Drosophila melanogaster: one gene and its partner. The protein of the gene in region 1 interacts with the protein of each later gene in a pairwise test. Each region holds a gene or a part of one and is shown on either strand. Other genes may lie near its edges.

Region 1 (6,874 bases):
ATAAAAGCTCCACGGAGCGCGATCATCGAGGAGCCATTGAAGAGATTTTTCCATCCCTCTTCGCGGGTGATTCGCACCAGTCCGTCTATGGCGTGCTTATAGCTGCAAAAAAAAAATTAATCGAACTCGTAAAATAACGTACATCCATTTCAATAACTTTAAAGCGCGTTTTAAGTGATTTTGAAATATGTCTTTGGGCTATAAATATATATAAAACAAGAGCGAACACTATAGTCAAGTTCCTCGATTGTTTTTTAGCACATCGATGGAAATTGGACAAAAAATAATAAAATAAAATAAGAAATTAAAAGTTTAAGTTTATACGGACAAACGGAAGGACAATCGGACAAGACTTGCTCAAGAATACTTTAAATGGTCGGAAACACTTCCATCACGATATAAATATTTTTAAATCTTACTTGCGCCTCTTCTCTGGTGGCAACTTGACATCGTTCTGCAGGCGGACGTTGATCAGATCTGCAGGAGCGCCCACAAACCCGCCAATTCCACCGGCAATCGCGGCTAGACATGTTTTGCCGGCCATGGTGCTGGTGTCCATAGCTCCAGAGCCCACCGAATAAATGCCAAAACGGGCCAATGTGTACGTGTATTGGCGCAGCATTGAGGCCGAGATGCCATTGTACATGGCCAGAGGTCCCTGTTCCTTGACAATCTTGCGGGTGGTCTGGAATACCGATAGCTTCTCCGCCTGAGTTTGGATAAGCACCTTGATCAAGTCAATCGGATGAGTCACCATGGCAGCCATGGAGCTCGCCAGACCTCCAAAGTACCAGCGGGCAATACGCCGCTGGTTGTAGGACATCAATCCACCCCTTCTGAGCGACATTTTGTGTTTTCTATTTGCTAACTTCTTACCCTTAATTTATTACTACGGATCTACTTGTGTGTTGTTTGTTAAATGTGAGTATAATGTATATGTAAATGAAAGTGCGGGGTTGATCTAACGACTGACGAGTTTAAAGGCAAGGAAAGCATGATTGGTGACTTTAAATATTAAGACACAAAAATTTAGAATTTACTTTCAAATCATAGTGCATCATGGTAACCAAATGAATTATTTAAATGTAGTAGAAATTTGGTCGTCCCTTCGATAGATCCTACATTATCATAATTAGCATCATAATTGCATTATTTACGTTTTATTTCACTCACTCCTAATCTGTACAACATCGGAATTCCTATAAGGCCTCCACCAACAATGCAATAATCCATCAAGCGTTTTTTGACCACTTCGTCTACAGAATTCAGATACAGATATAATGGAAAAGCCAGAGCAATCAAGCATGCATTTAGTAGTATCACCATAATTATTATCCAAGCAGCTCCTTTAGGCTTATCCTTATTACCTGAAATCATTATACTAAAACAAAACGTATTATTTGTGGGTCTGCCACCTCACCTGTCTCAACTAAGCTGATCGATTCGTCTTGCCCATTTTCCAAGATTCCGAGCTCCATTTTAAAACTCCTTGTCCCGTTCGTAATTGTATTTTCTATATATGAAACTTAATGAAGTTCAACTTTGACACCAAATGCAAGGGTAATAACTTGTTATTATTAATAATAATACAAACCGCTTTTCATCATAGCAGTTGTCATGGAAATCATACACAAATACTTTTTATATTCATATTCATTTATATATAAATATATTTTATTATTATTGTGAAAACTTTCATTGCTAATTTTAAAAATGGTAATTAACATACTCTTTGTTGGAATTTTTGTGTGGAGTATAGGTCCTAGGTAGTCATTACAAGAGCGTTTCCCTGTCACATTATTTACACCTGATTTGCCAAAAGACTGCTACTTTACATCCGGGCAGGGAGCAAAGCAAAATGGAAGAAAACAAAACGACCTGAGCACGCAACAAAGGTCTTTGGGAAACGCCTCAATCACGCACCTCTGATTATGCTAATGGATCTGAACCACTGTTGTTTCATAAATATTTTGACAGCTCAAGCACCGGAAACGGACGCTTGAAATTGTCCACAAGTGCCTGTATTTTAATTGGTCATTTGGTTTTGACAGTTGGAAACTCAGGCCTAGCCACTCGAATGGAAAGCTCGACCGCTCTTTAAACAAAAGTGTGTGAAATGGGTAGCAGTAGCAGGCTATTAAATAAATAAAACTTGGCCAGAAAGTTATTATTTGGCCGATACAAAACGTATCTATTCCATTGGCAGACTATTAAACCCAACATAACGCTGGAGGAATTTGCTGCTAGTAGAGCAGAATATATATGTATTTTTTGAAAATGCAATAAAATCGGCACAACATTTTTGAGAAATTGCCTCAAAAGCGAAATACATTTTATATTCAAAACAAAGTGGGTTGCAATTTCGGCCATTGGCATATGGGCAAAGTTCAGTCGCAGATAAAAGCGGCTAAATAATTTGGTTTCAGTTCGATGGCCACGAAAATTGAATGTTATTTCGATTTATGTTCCGTTTTGCGCACAATTCAATGGACTTTCGGTGAGTTTTCTACCAAAATCACGGCTGATGGATTGGATTTTAATTCCGGTGCAGCTGTCCGCGAACATACAAATATTTGCAAATCCCGCCCAAATTGTCGCATTGCGTTTGCTTATTTTTCATGTAATTCTATTTTGCGGTTTGCTTAACTGAATGCCAGCTCACGTTTATTATTTTACCATAATTGGTTTTAGCTGCCAAAAGCCGAAAATATAATTATCGCTTGGTAAGATGACCGACCGCCCAGTAACAAAAAGTTAACGGCAGAAACTTTTAAATGCTCAAAATCTTTATAAACTTTATTTATTGCGGCCAACTCGTTGGGAGTTAAGCTCCAGTTTAGAAGTTAAACAGTTAGTTATATAGTTGGCCCGCTTATTTGTTGCTGCAGCACTGGTCCTTGGGCCCATTCTTGCAAACGCACTGGCAATCCTTGTTGCAGGCGCAGTTGTCCCCGCACTTTTGGGCCGAGCACTGGCAGTCTGTCGAGGAATCGAGAACGATTGTCAATTATACAGCTTGCTGCTGCGTTGTACCACTTACTTGTTCCACAACCCTTGCAAACCATCTTGTATGTATCTATTTCTCGACTTTCACTTGGCTGAGGCGAACTGATATTCACTTGTTTGCTTGTTGCTTGGCTATTCAACTGATGACCCAGTCCGGCAACTCCCCCACTTTTATACCCACTTCGATTGCCTCGAACTCGAACGAGTGCAAAATTGCACAAATCCAAAACAAATTTGTTTGTTTGACCCAACTTATCACGTCGTGTGCAAGTCTGGGGCGAGTGGTTCGCAATTTATCAGACGATAGGCCAGGCAATTCTTTTTGCGCACGCGATTGCTCGCCAACTCGGTGCACACGAACTCCTCATCAGCTTATCAGCTGCCCACGTTGCGTATACGTTGCGTATACGCCGCGTATCGTGACTCAGCCCACAGCCCAGAAGCACACAATAAAAAGCATGAAAAGCGCAGGCAGCTACCCAGCGGGGTTTTTCACAATAAATAAAAGACTTTCCTGTAGTAAAACAAATTTAAATGCTCATATTGGCTGCAAAAACGCTTTACGACTAAACTCTTTTCAAAAAAAACCCAGCGTAAATGCCATAAAAATATCACATGTGGAAAGCTAACTAAAAATTAATAGAGGAAAAAACGCGCTGCAAATTAGGCAAAAACTATAAGCTCTGCGGGAGCTACGAAAACAGTTCGTTGCACGGAAAACCAAACACCCGGAACAACTTTATATATATTTATGACTTTTAGTAAAAAAAAAGTTTTCGAGAACAAATATAGAAATAGGCCTGACTTAGTTGTTTTTTTTTTTGCTAGGTGTACCTGCAACAAAAGAACGACTTAGATAAGTTTCCTGCAGTCTCTAACTCGGCTAGTTTTTTTACCTTTACTTTTTTACCATTTTATTTACCTTACCTTAAAAAAAAAATATCTTTAACGAGTATAATGAATATATAATTGATTCTTGTGCTTGTGTTGACCACAAGGTTTATATTTAACATCACATAAACATATATAACTTGACCAGCCAGCACCGTTCAGTTAGAGTATGACTTCAGTTCCTTACCACAAATTGCATGAATATCCTCTCGTCCCCAAAGTGTCCTTCGATTTTTCTCCGTGTAGTCCTGGGAACATTCCTGTAGAACTCAATATTTTAGAAAGTCAAGTGGCAGGTGTTCCGTTACCCCAAATTAAATTAAGTAATTATGAGGTCAGCGAAGGGTGTCTCATGCGAATTTAATGGGACACTTTTGATGGGAGCTATATAAACCTAAGACTTATTCTGTCAGCCGATCAAACAGCTGAATCATGCTGTTCCGCAAACGTAAGCCAAAAAGTGACGATGAAGTCATCACCTTCGACGAACTTACCCGGTTTCCGATGACTTTCTACAAGACCATCGGCGAGGATCTGTACTCCGATAGGGATCCGAATGTGATAAGGCGTTACCTGCTACGTTTTTATCTGGTACTCGGTTTTCTCAACTTCAATGCCTATGTGGTGGGCGAAATCGCGTACTTTATAGTCCATATAATGTCGACGACTACTCTTTTGGAGGCCACTGCAGTGGCACCGTGCATTGGCTTCAGCTTCATGGCCGACTTTAAGCAGTTCGGTCTCACAGTGAATAGAAAGCGATTGGTCAGATTGCTGGATGATCTCAAGGAGATATTTCCTTTAGATTTAGAAGCGCAGCGGAAGTATAACGTATCGTTTTACCGGAAACACATGAACAGGGTCATGACCCTATTCACCATCCTCTGCATGACCTACACCTCGTCATTTAGCTTTTATCCAGCCATCAAGTCGACCATAAAGTATTACCTTATGGGATCGGAAATCTTTGAGCGCAACTACGGATTTCACATTTTGTTTCCCTACGACGCAGAAACGGATCTGACGGTCTACTGGTTTTCCTACTGGGGATTGGCTCATTGTGCCTATGTGGCCGGAGTTTCCTACGTCTGCGTGGATCTCCTGCTGATCGCGACCATAACCCAGCTGACCATGCACTTCAACTTTATAGCGAATGATTTGGAGGCCTACGAAGGAGGTGATCATACGGATGAAGAAAATATCAAATACCTGCACAACTTGGTCGTCTATCATGCCAGGGCGCTGGAGTAAGTTTGACGGTTATATATTATATATATCTCTCAATTCATCCAAATTAAGGATAAGAACTAAACTACTACATGTTTTTCTTATAATACACTTTTCAGCCTCAGCGAGGAGGTCAACAACATATTCAGCTTCCTGATCCTGTGGAACTTTATTGCCGCATCGCTCGTGATTTGCTTCGCTGGCTTTCAGATTACAGCCTCAAATGTGGAGGACATAGTGTTGTACTTCATATTTTTTTCAGCTTCGCTGGTTCAAGTCTTTGTGGTCTGTTACTACGGCGATGAAATGATATCTTCAGTGAGTTTAATTTTTATTAATTTTTCTTGTTTTCGGTCTAGTATTAACAAGAAATGTACATTTCAGAGCTCTCGGATTGGCCATTCGGCATTTAATCAGAACTGGTTGCCATGCAGCACCAAATACAAACGCATCCTGCAATTTATTATCGCGCGCAGCCAGAAGCCCGCCTCTATAAGACCGCCTACCTTTCCACCCATATCTTTTAATACCTTTATGAAGGTAATCAGCATGTCGTATCAGTTTTTTGCACTGCTCCGCACCACATATTATGGTTAAGGGAAGATTAGATACATATATATGTATGTGCATAGGTACATCGGAATATTGATAGCAATCCATCGAATACGAAAAATACATATTTGCAAAATAAGATACTGAATTCGTTTGCAAAATACAAATACATAAGTACACATAATGTTATATAACAAGATAACAACTTGTGATCTTTAAGAAAAAACAGTATTCTATCCTAAAAAAAACCACAACAAATCAAGTTATTTAATGTGAAAAATATATAAAAATTCATAAAATTAATAAAACAAATCTTAAATTGTCATAAAAAAGATCTGTTCTGTTAACACTTTACAGATGTTATAGAGGGTAAAAGTTATTAATTAATACATGCTTTAAGGCTGTGACATAAAGTCCCCATGAAAAGAACATTAACGTTCCCGCGACAGAATACTTTGCATACTTTGCGGATCAGTCATAAAAAACGACTTGTAATACTTGTAATATATGGAATTTAAAGGTCAATCCGCAAAAGACCATCAATCCCTGCTTCACCTTGAAGACCTTAAGTCCCGTCACCGCACCCATAGAGCTGGAAGGTGTAATCCTAGATCAACCTTCACAGGCTAAGTACCTCGGGATTACCCTTGATAAACGGTTGACTTTCGGCCCGCACCTGAAAGCTACGACTCGGAGATGTTATCAAAGGATGCAACAACTTCGATGGCTGTTAAACAGAAAAAGCACCATGACACTGAGAGCCAAAAGAGCAGTCTACGTCCACTGCGTAGCCCCGATCTGGCTGTACGGAATACAGATCTGGGGTATCGCAGCAAAATCCAACTACAACCGCATTCAGGTATTGCAAAATCGTGCCATGCGTGCAATTACAGACTGCCCATACTATGTACGTGGCACTACCCTTCACCGTGATCTGAATCTTCATACAGTGGAAGAGCAGATCTCCAGGCACACCAGCAGATATAGTGATAGACTAAGACGACACCACAGTATACTTGCTAGACGCTTACTCCCTGCTAGGCCTCTAAAGAGATTAAAAAGGAAGGGTTTCGCCAAAACACTTGGACAACCCTAAAGACCCCCTCGAAATATGAGACAAAGTTGTAAGTCCTCACAAAGTGAGAGGTTTGGTTTTATCTTTTATATGTTAATTGCGCTGTTATGTTACTGTTATTGC
Region 2 (8,002 bases), on another chromosome or scaffold:
ATATGCCCTCGGGGCCAGCTCCACATTGTGGATGCATTGGGGAACTGGGAACTGAAGCCCGGGACCTGCACTTGCAAATGAGCTGCATTTTGAGACATTAAAGGGCACTTAGCATAATGATTTACAACTTTGATTCACGCAATTAAATTGGAATTTCTGGGCAACAGTGGGGCAAGTGTGGTGGAATAAAGGAAATACGAAAAGTAATATTCTAATTTGCATATCTCACTTTATCATAGAGAAAGGATGCAACACTGTAATCTTACAAAGCTTTAATAATCTTCAATTATTATCTCATCATTGAGCTGCATCATCACCTAATAAATTTAGGTAACCTTACACTTTTATTGAGTATGCACACTTGATACCCAAATTGTGAAGTTCACTGTGCCGCTTCTGCCAGTTCAATGGAGCTGAAAACGCATCCACATCATCAATGGCCGCAACAACGACCAGAACGACGACAACAATCATGCCCGGAGGCAGTCACACGGACAATGTTATTGACACCCCAGAGACAAGGTTTCGATTTCAGGCCCTCCAAAGTTCCATGTCCAGTGTGCAGTGCCCCATTCCAGTGCCCCATTCCACTGTTCCACCCAGTGCCTATCTCCTCGACATTCACACCCAGGATTATGGGCAGACGAGCGCATCCTTTGTCGACATGTCCTGCGCTTGATTGGCACTTTTGCTGAGTGCGTCTGATTGCCGCTCCGAGAGTCGGAGGCAATCAAGTGGAATGTCCAATGTCATCGGCGATATGTGGGTGCACCTTCGCCAGGTGTCATAACTTGCCGTATTTATGGGCATGGTGGGCTTAAGACAAAACGGGCACAAAATATGCTATCTAAAGTGGCATTTCATTAGCCAAGCCCTCGTTGGGCTCCATAAATCAGCCGAAGATCAAGTGGCCATCACATTATCGTATCCAATCGGATCTGGTCAATCTGCGGGTCTGCCAACTTCTCACTTCTCTGGGCGATCCGATCCGATCCGCACCAATTCGATTCGAATCGATCCGGTCTGGCTGCTCGGCGGAAATTGATCAATTACAGAGAGCACTTCGCCTTGCGTTGCCGTTTTGTGGACCAGTTTTTCCCGTCCGGCAACGGATAATTTGCATAAATACGAAGCAAAGTTCAGACGCGAGCTCAAGTGGCCCAAAATGTGACTCCATCTATGTTTGGCCACCGAGCTCGGATCCCATACGTATATCCGAGGCCTTAATCTCGACGTCGACGTTGGCCAGGCCGGCATGAAAAATGGCCGAAACGCCTTTAGTGTCAATTTTATGTTATCGTTTGATTTATAATCACGCTGATAGACGTCGATATTTTAATTGATTGCACTCGGCCGGAGTTTCCAACTTATTTCGGGGAATCTGTGGTGGTTTCTACACAGATTGTATCAGTCGCACCAATCACTTTCTATGGGATAACGGGTGAGAAGACAAAGGAAAGCAAAAGTAGTTACAAGATGTATCTGTTAGGAGATAATTTGAACCATTTTTTTGTATATAAATAAAACATATTATCCTGTTCGGATGTTGCAACCTTCATTACATGGCCAATTTGTCTGTAAAGATCAGCTTCATTTTTCTACCGAACCCATCACCATATCCAAATTACTTCTGAGTCTGGAATTCCTCCTGCCCGGCGATCTGAACAGGGCGATCTTCAAATCAAAATACCAGCACCTAGACCTCGCTTCCTTTTTCCCCATCGAGTGATTCATGGACATGGCAAAGTAAAAGCGAAGTAAAAACTCAACACGAGCAGCAGTTGGATGCAGATCGCAGATCCGGGGCAATCGAGCAGGAGGAGTAGAACAAATCGCCAGGTCTCCATTTCGAGTAGATGAAGCTCCATTAAGGTAGCACATAAATAAGTCGGGTAGTCATCCAAGTGTCGTCCTCTGTGGCCGGGGCCATTTAATTTCCGACTAATAATGACAACCATATAAAGTTATTGGTGGCAGGGGCCGGAGCAGACATTGTTTGTCGCGTGATAACTTCATTTCCATGGCCCGCCTCGCAAATACGCGGAATACTCGCGCAGCGGGGTATATGGTTACCGATACCCTTTGGGATACTCTGGGTTACTCTGGGATGATCACGTATGCGTATCCTTTTCCGAGAGTGGCGGCCTACACCAGAGACCGACTCTGTCAGCATATATCAGCCTAAGCCTGATTAACTATCGGCCAAACGGACGCGTATGTGTGCCAAAACACTTGGTATACGAGTATTCTATCCCGAAATGGAATTCCTTAGAAACCTGTAGCTCGGAGAATCGGGGACTTTGGGCCATCGCAGCCCCAATGTGGCCGAGATGCCCCGAATGCGATAGCGAAAATTTATGACTTCATTAAGGTAACAAGCCAATATGTTTTCAACTTCGAACTGGGTTGGGTTGCGTTGGGTTGGTTTGGCTTATTGGAAACGTTTAAGGAGTTTTATGAGCTCGTTGTTCCCGTTGCCGTTGTTATAGTTATTGTTGTTGTAGTCGTTGACCCATTTCAAATGGATTACCCAACATGCATAAATAGTTTAAACGCCTCACTTCCACCGATTCGTGCCTTCGGTTCTGTGGCGAAAAGATTTATGGACTTGTCGTTCAGCAGCTACCTCTGCCCCCCCAGCTCCTCCCTGATCCTGTGGGAGACAAAAAGAATTAACCGAGTCGAAAGCAAATGAGCTGGAATGGTCATACGGGCCTGAACCCTTTTTATGATTGCTTCGGCAGTTAAATGAACTTATAGCCGCATTTTCAACTGTTCACCAGACGACTGCATGGCGGCCAAAAGGGTTGGCTTTTTTGGGTGGGTAGGGGAAAACGTGTTAACTTGTTGCATCCAAATCGAATTACGGAGTGCGTCTGGTTGTCTAGTCAACTGCGGAAAGGTGCAATCTAAATACGGAAAGTGAGCACATGTGAAAAATATCGAGAAATTGTGACTTTGTTAGATAAGCGGTTATCTTGGCAAGCAGAAATTATGTTTGGCTTAAAAATAGCCTAAAATTTACTTATTCCTATTTGTTTAAATGTAATACAATTTAAATAGAACAATGTAACAACATGTAACATAATTTTATTCCACTGCCAAGCAATTAAAATGAATCCCTGACAATCCTTGCAATTGATTATTTAACAAAATATCTAAGCAAGCTTTAAGTATTAAGAAACATCCTTTTCAAATTCATATTTTGGGCCGCAATCGTAACTGAAAAAATTTCAAATAAATTCTTGCACTCAATTAAAATATAGCGCATTTTTTTGGGACCGTAAATCATGGTGAGCCATGAGCCTGCGGCACAACAGGAGTCTCCGAATTATTGACCGCTTGCGCTGGTGTTGGCTCGCTAAAACCACTTAAAACTGTCAACTTAGCATTGATTAACGAGCTTATGGCATGTTTATTTTGCGATCTTTGTTGCGGACAGACGGACGGTCGGCCGGCCGGCAGAACAGAACGGACTCCAAATACACATGTGTAGATATTTTTGGGCCCGTTTTCTTCGCTCGCAATCTGGCCAAATGCGCGCAATCTGGCTGACAAGTCTTTTACGATTCGGGCCTTAGCGTCTAGGCCACATGAGAGGCGAGAGACCGCTGACAAAGTCCATTAAAGCCGCGTAAGCCTGCGGTGCACGTTATGTTTTTTAATAGTCCGCGCATTTAGCGACTTAATGATTTTTCGCTGTAAAATTTTAAGCTTGTTTTCTCCGCAGAGGCTACTGCTACTCAATGAAAAAGTGAGATATTCGGCATGCGTTTTGCGTTGCTGCTGGCGAAAAAGTCGTTTGAATTTGCCGATTGGCGCGCCCAGGGCGCCCTCTGGCGCACTATTCACGCAACCAGTGGGGAGTAAGGCAGCGCGCTCGATAACAAATCGATAACAGTGCTGATATATTTTTAAATATTCCCACAGCGGCCACACTACCACGAGACCAAACAAAAACAAACGCAAATTAGTTAATTAATTTTAGCAGTTCTAAATATGGCTGTGCTACCACCAGATCCTGTATTCAGCCTGCGCTCCCCCGACATGGGAGCCGTCAACTCTCTGTGTTTCCAGGAGAGCGACCGATTGCTGGCGGGAACCATCAAAGGCAGCGTTTTCCTCTGGGATTTGCAAGTGAGAATCTTTATCACGTTATCTATGTTAATTCACAAGCCAACCTGGCATTAGATATTATGCTATAAAAGCGGTTTGCAAGTTAAGATATTAAGCGAAAGTATGTAATTCTTTAAAATTTTCTTTCACGTTGCATATACACACATAAATCCATATATAAATATACATATGTATATGTAGCCGCAACCATAGTCCGATCTTTGATCCAACTTTTTTGTAATATTTATAGCAATATCACGCTGTTAGGTGCCAAGTTTTAAACACCAGAGGTGAATAATGTATTCTCTCTGTTTGTACTTAATTAATTATATTAACAATATCCTATTAACCAACAACTTGTTTCTTAGACCAACCGCTCCGCTCTGCACTTTGAGGTGGGATCCGACCCCATAACCAGTCTGCACCACACCCCTGATCGCCTGGTGACCCAGGAGAAGGGCGGCACTATCACCATGTTCTCCATCGGCGGCAGTAGCTACGTTAAAGAGCGCAGTATTCCAGGCAATCACCTGGGCTTTTGCCGATCTGCCTTGCACACGAACACCAGCAAGACCAACGAGCAGCTGCTCTTCTATCCCTGCGAGGAATCGTCCATCGGAGTGCTTCACGTTACGGATGCAGCGGCCCCCACGCAAATACTGGTCCCAGATGATCCCCAACTGCCCAAACTGGGTAGCGTCACCTGCTTCAAGCCCTTCGAGTGCGCCTCGCAACTGTTCCTGCTCGCTGGCTACGAATCGGGACACTTCCTCACCTGGGACATCAGCTCGAGCGTTATTTTGGATGTGATGGAATTGGCCCAAGATGCTACGTCTGTGGACTACGATCCAGTTACGAATCGTGGCATTGTGGGTGGTCCAAGTAAGTTGGAGCTTAAGTCCAAACAAATTATCGTGATATAATAGTTCTATTCTTTTCTTACAGCCGACAAGTTGATTAGTTTCAGTTATCAGCGCTCATCGATGCAAATGCAGCTCGGCTCGGAGCTGTGCATCAAGAATCCTGGAGTGAATGGCGTTCGCATTCGGCCCGATCAGAAGGTGTTCGCCAGTGCCGGCTGGGATGGTCGTATTCGGATCTTCTCGTGGAAAAGCCTGCGACCGCTGGCCGTGCTTACGCAGCACAAGAATGGCGGCGTAATGGACTTGGCCTTCTCCAGCCAACAGGTGGCCATGTGGCATGCTCCCATCATGGCAGCAGCGGGCATGGATGGCCAGATATCATTGTGGGACCTCTACAACTGAACTATGACTTAGTCTTAAGTGTTACAATGAGGAACAGACACTGATTACCCTGACTGCAACGGCTTAGCGATCCTCTTGAAATAGCTTTACTTTATATGTATTTTGTAATAACCTTTTGATAATTGCTTCGGTTCAGTTATTTTTTGTGAATTTGTTTAGAATATTTTTGAAGCCAATTAAAGGGCTTGGCAATGCAGCTATTTGTTACTTAGATGAACTTTGACCACCCTTGAAAAAGAATATTTTTTGAAGTGTATCTTATTAAAGTATATAAAAAAATATATATAAAGAATATTTAGCATCTAGGATACTTTTCATTGCTTAAGTGCATTAGTCAGGACTACATCCACTAAATAATTAAACACATTTTATCCAATAAGTTATATTTTAGTTTATTAAGAATCAAAACTGAGTACCGCATGCACTTTGTGCCTTTTGCTGCATTCCTCTCCTCCTCTGGACTCCATTTCCGTTTCCGCTTACACAAACACACTGACACACTCACACATACATAGATAAATACATTCTACTACTTTTAAGGGGTAAATCCTAAGGTCTATGTCTACTTTTTAGCTTTAGCACTACCACTGTTGCTGTGGCTGCCGCTCATATTGCACTCTGCTTCCGGATCCGCATCCGCCTCCTTGTTGCTACTGCCGTTGCTCTGTTCGCCATCGTTGGCCATTTCCGGTTCCTTAAGACCCATTTTTTGGAAATCGCAGTCGATGATCCTTTTGCGCTTGCGCAGCGGTCGACTACACTCGGCCGCCGCCTCTTTGGTTTGAATCAGTGTTCGCTTGGTCTGCAGCCGTGTGATCTTCAGCTTGGGCAGCTTCTGGTTGTCCGCCTCGGGTTCGGACTGCGTAGAATCCCTGACGATGCAGTGCGTCTGTTGTGGTGAAGACGATGATTCCTGTGAAATTGATGGCGAAGCCGCGTTGGTGTCCCCATCTGGATTTGTCTTTGGTATGGATTCCTTTTCATCCTCTTCCTGATCGTTGTCCAGCTCCTGGCCAGGCTCACTTAGTTTCTCCACATCTGGTTTCTCCTCCTCCAGCTCACTTCTGCTTTTGCTGCAGTCCAGCGGCTGTGGTTGCTCCTGTTCTTCTGCGTTTTCCGCTCTGGTTGGAGCAGCCCGCTGCTCATCGAAACGCTTCCTCTCCTCGGGAGTTAGGTGTGCCTTGTAAAAATCTATCACAGGCAGAGGAACGGGTATGGGTATGGGCAGGGGAATGATGATGGGATAGGGCACCATCACGGTCACCGGCGGCACAGCCCCCAACAGAGACCCTAGCTCGGGCATTTGAGGCGGAAGCGGTGGCCCGAAGTGCGGACCAAATCCACGAGGCATCATGCCATGCGGAGGTGGATGCATAAAGTGATGCGGAGGCGGCGGTGGGCGCCCCGCAAACGGATGTCCCATGGGCACACCATTCGAAGGCGTCGCGAAGTAGCTGGCCGGGATGGCTGTTGGTCCCCGTGGCAGGGCTTGTGTTGGTGGCACCTGAGGAGCCTGCTGCTGTTGTGGTGCCTCCTGCATGCTGGGCATGGGCGAGAGCGGAGGCAGTGGTACGCTGGATCCACCAAAGTCAGCCGTTAGCGTGGGAGGTGCCTGATGTTGCTGCGGTGCCTGTTGCTGCTGCTGTTTCTGCAGCAGACTGGCCACAGTTTCCGAGCCCAAGGAAGAGGAAATACCTCGGCGCTTGCGGCGACCCAACTTTCCCGCCAAATGCCGCTGGACAGGCGGTGGCGGTGGTGGAGGGGCTCCGGGTCCGGGACCCGGACTCTTCTGGGCCAGCAACTTCGAGACGGGTGCCACTGAGATCAAAGGTTTGCTGGGATGATGACTAGGCGGTGAGTCCGGACAGCGACTGACAGCCGGAGCAGGCGGCGGACCCGGAGACACCGAGAGCGTGGAGGCGGGCGAGGCCGAGCGACTCCTGCAGTTTCGAAGCCACAGATCCGGCGTTATCAGCCCAGCCTCGCTGCCCGCATCCATGGCCTGATCCCGCAGGTGCGGATGCATGTCCAGGTGCGCCTGGGTTTCGTGGCAGAAGATCTGCATCTTGTACTGGTTGAGGCACTTCTCCGAGCAGAACTGTAGCTGGGAGGCGCCGTCCTGAAAGTCCACGTAGCTAACCGCGTGGCGCACATGCTTGCACCAGTCGCAGGTCTTGGCCTTCTTGAAGGATGCCCTCCGGCTCTGGGCGAAGCAGGATTCGGAGCAGTAGCGCGGTCCGTCGCAGCTGGTCAGGTAGTCCGGCGCATTCTCCGCAATCGGTCGATGGCACCAGCAGCAATTGCTGAAGTCTGTTGAAGATACAAAAATAAATAACTTTATAAGTCTAAAGAACTTAAAGAAAAGTATAAGGAAATCTCTTAAGATATTATTTAAAATTATAATTTATTCCGAAATATTTTCTTTATTCGAAAATTCCTAGGGCTAGCTGGAAGAAGTAATGAATCGAATCAAACAAAGCACATTTGGGAGGCAAAAATGTTCTATTAAAAAGGAAATCGATTCCTGCCGAACTGCAAATTTGATTTCCGCAAGCATCCGTACAAACTGAGCTCCAAGTATCCTATTCCTAATATGGCCCGCTTCTTCCTGCTCGACGCTA

Evidence for each region. Proteins that work in one complex are often made in the same cells at the same time.
Region 2: the proteins of MtnB (region 1) and CG13192 interact in a two-hybrid assay, tested with the Drosophila melanogaster proteins (one study listed by BioGRID).

Annotation. Positions count from the first base shown.
Region 1 is NT_033777.3:20,500,466-20,507,339, forward strand, and holds MtnB (metallothionein B), read right to left. Parts: upstream 3,154-6,874; 5' UTR 3,066-3,153; coding exon 3,041-3,065; intron 2,980-3,040; coding exon 2,873-2,979; 3' UTR 2,637-2,872; downstream 1-2,636. Other genes in the region: Dic2 (dicarboxylate carrier 2), read right to left, coding at 1-102, 420-847; CG46441 (uncharacterized protein), read right to left, coding at 1,080-1,118, 1,174-1,367, 1,421-1,478; Or92a (odorant receptor 92a), read left to right, coding at 4,330-5,144, 5,244-5,442, 5,509-5,721. UniProt on the Drosophila melanogaster protein: This protein binds cations of several transition elements. Thought to be involved in metal ion homeostasis.
Region 2 is NT_033778.4:11,821,417-11,829,418, forward strand, and holds CG13192 (uncharacterized protein), read left to right. Parts: upstream 1-3,928; 5' UTR 3,929-3,999; coding exon 4,000-4,137; intron 4,138-4,484; coding exon 4,485-4,998; intron 4,999-5,061; coding exon 5,062-5,381; 3' UTR 5,382-5,681; downstream 5,682-8,002. Other genes in the region: Sobp (sine oculis-binding protein), read right to left, coding at 5,944-7,691.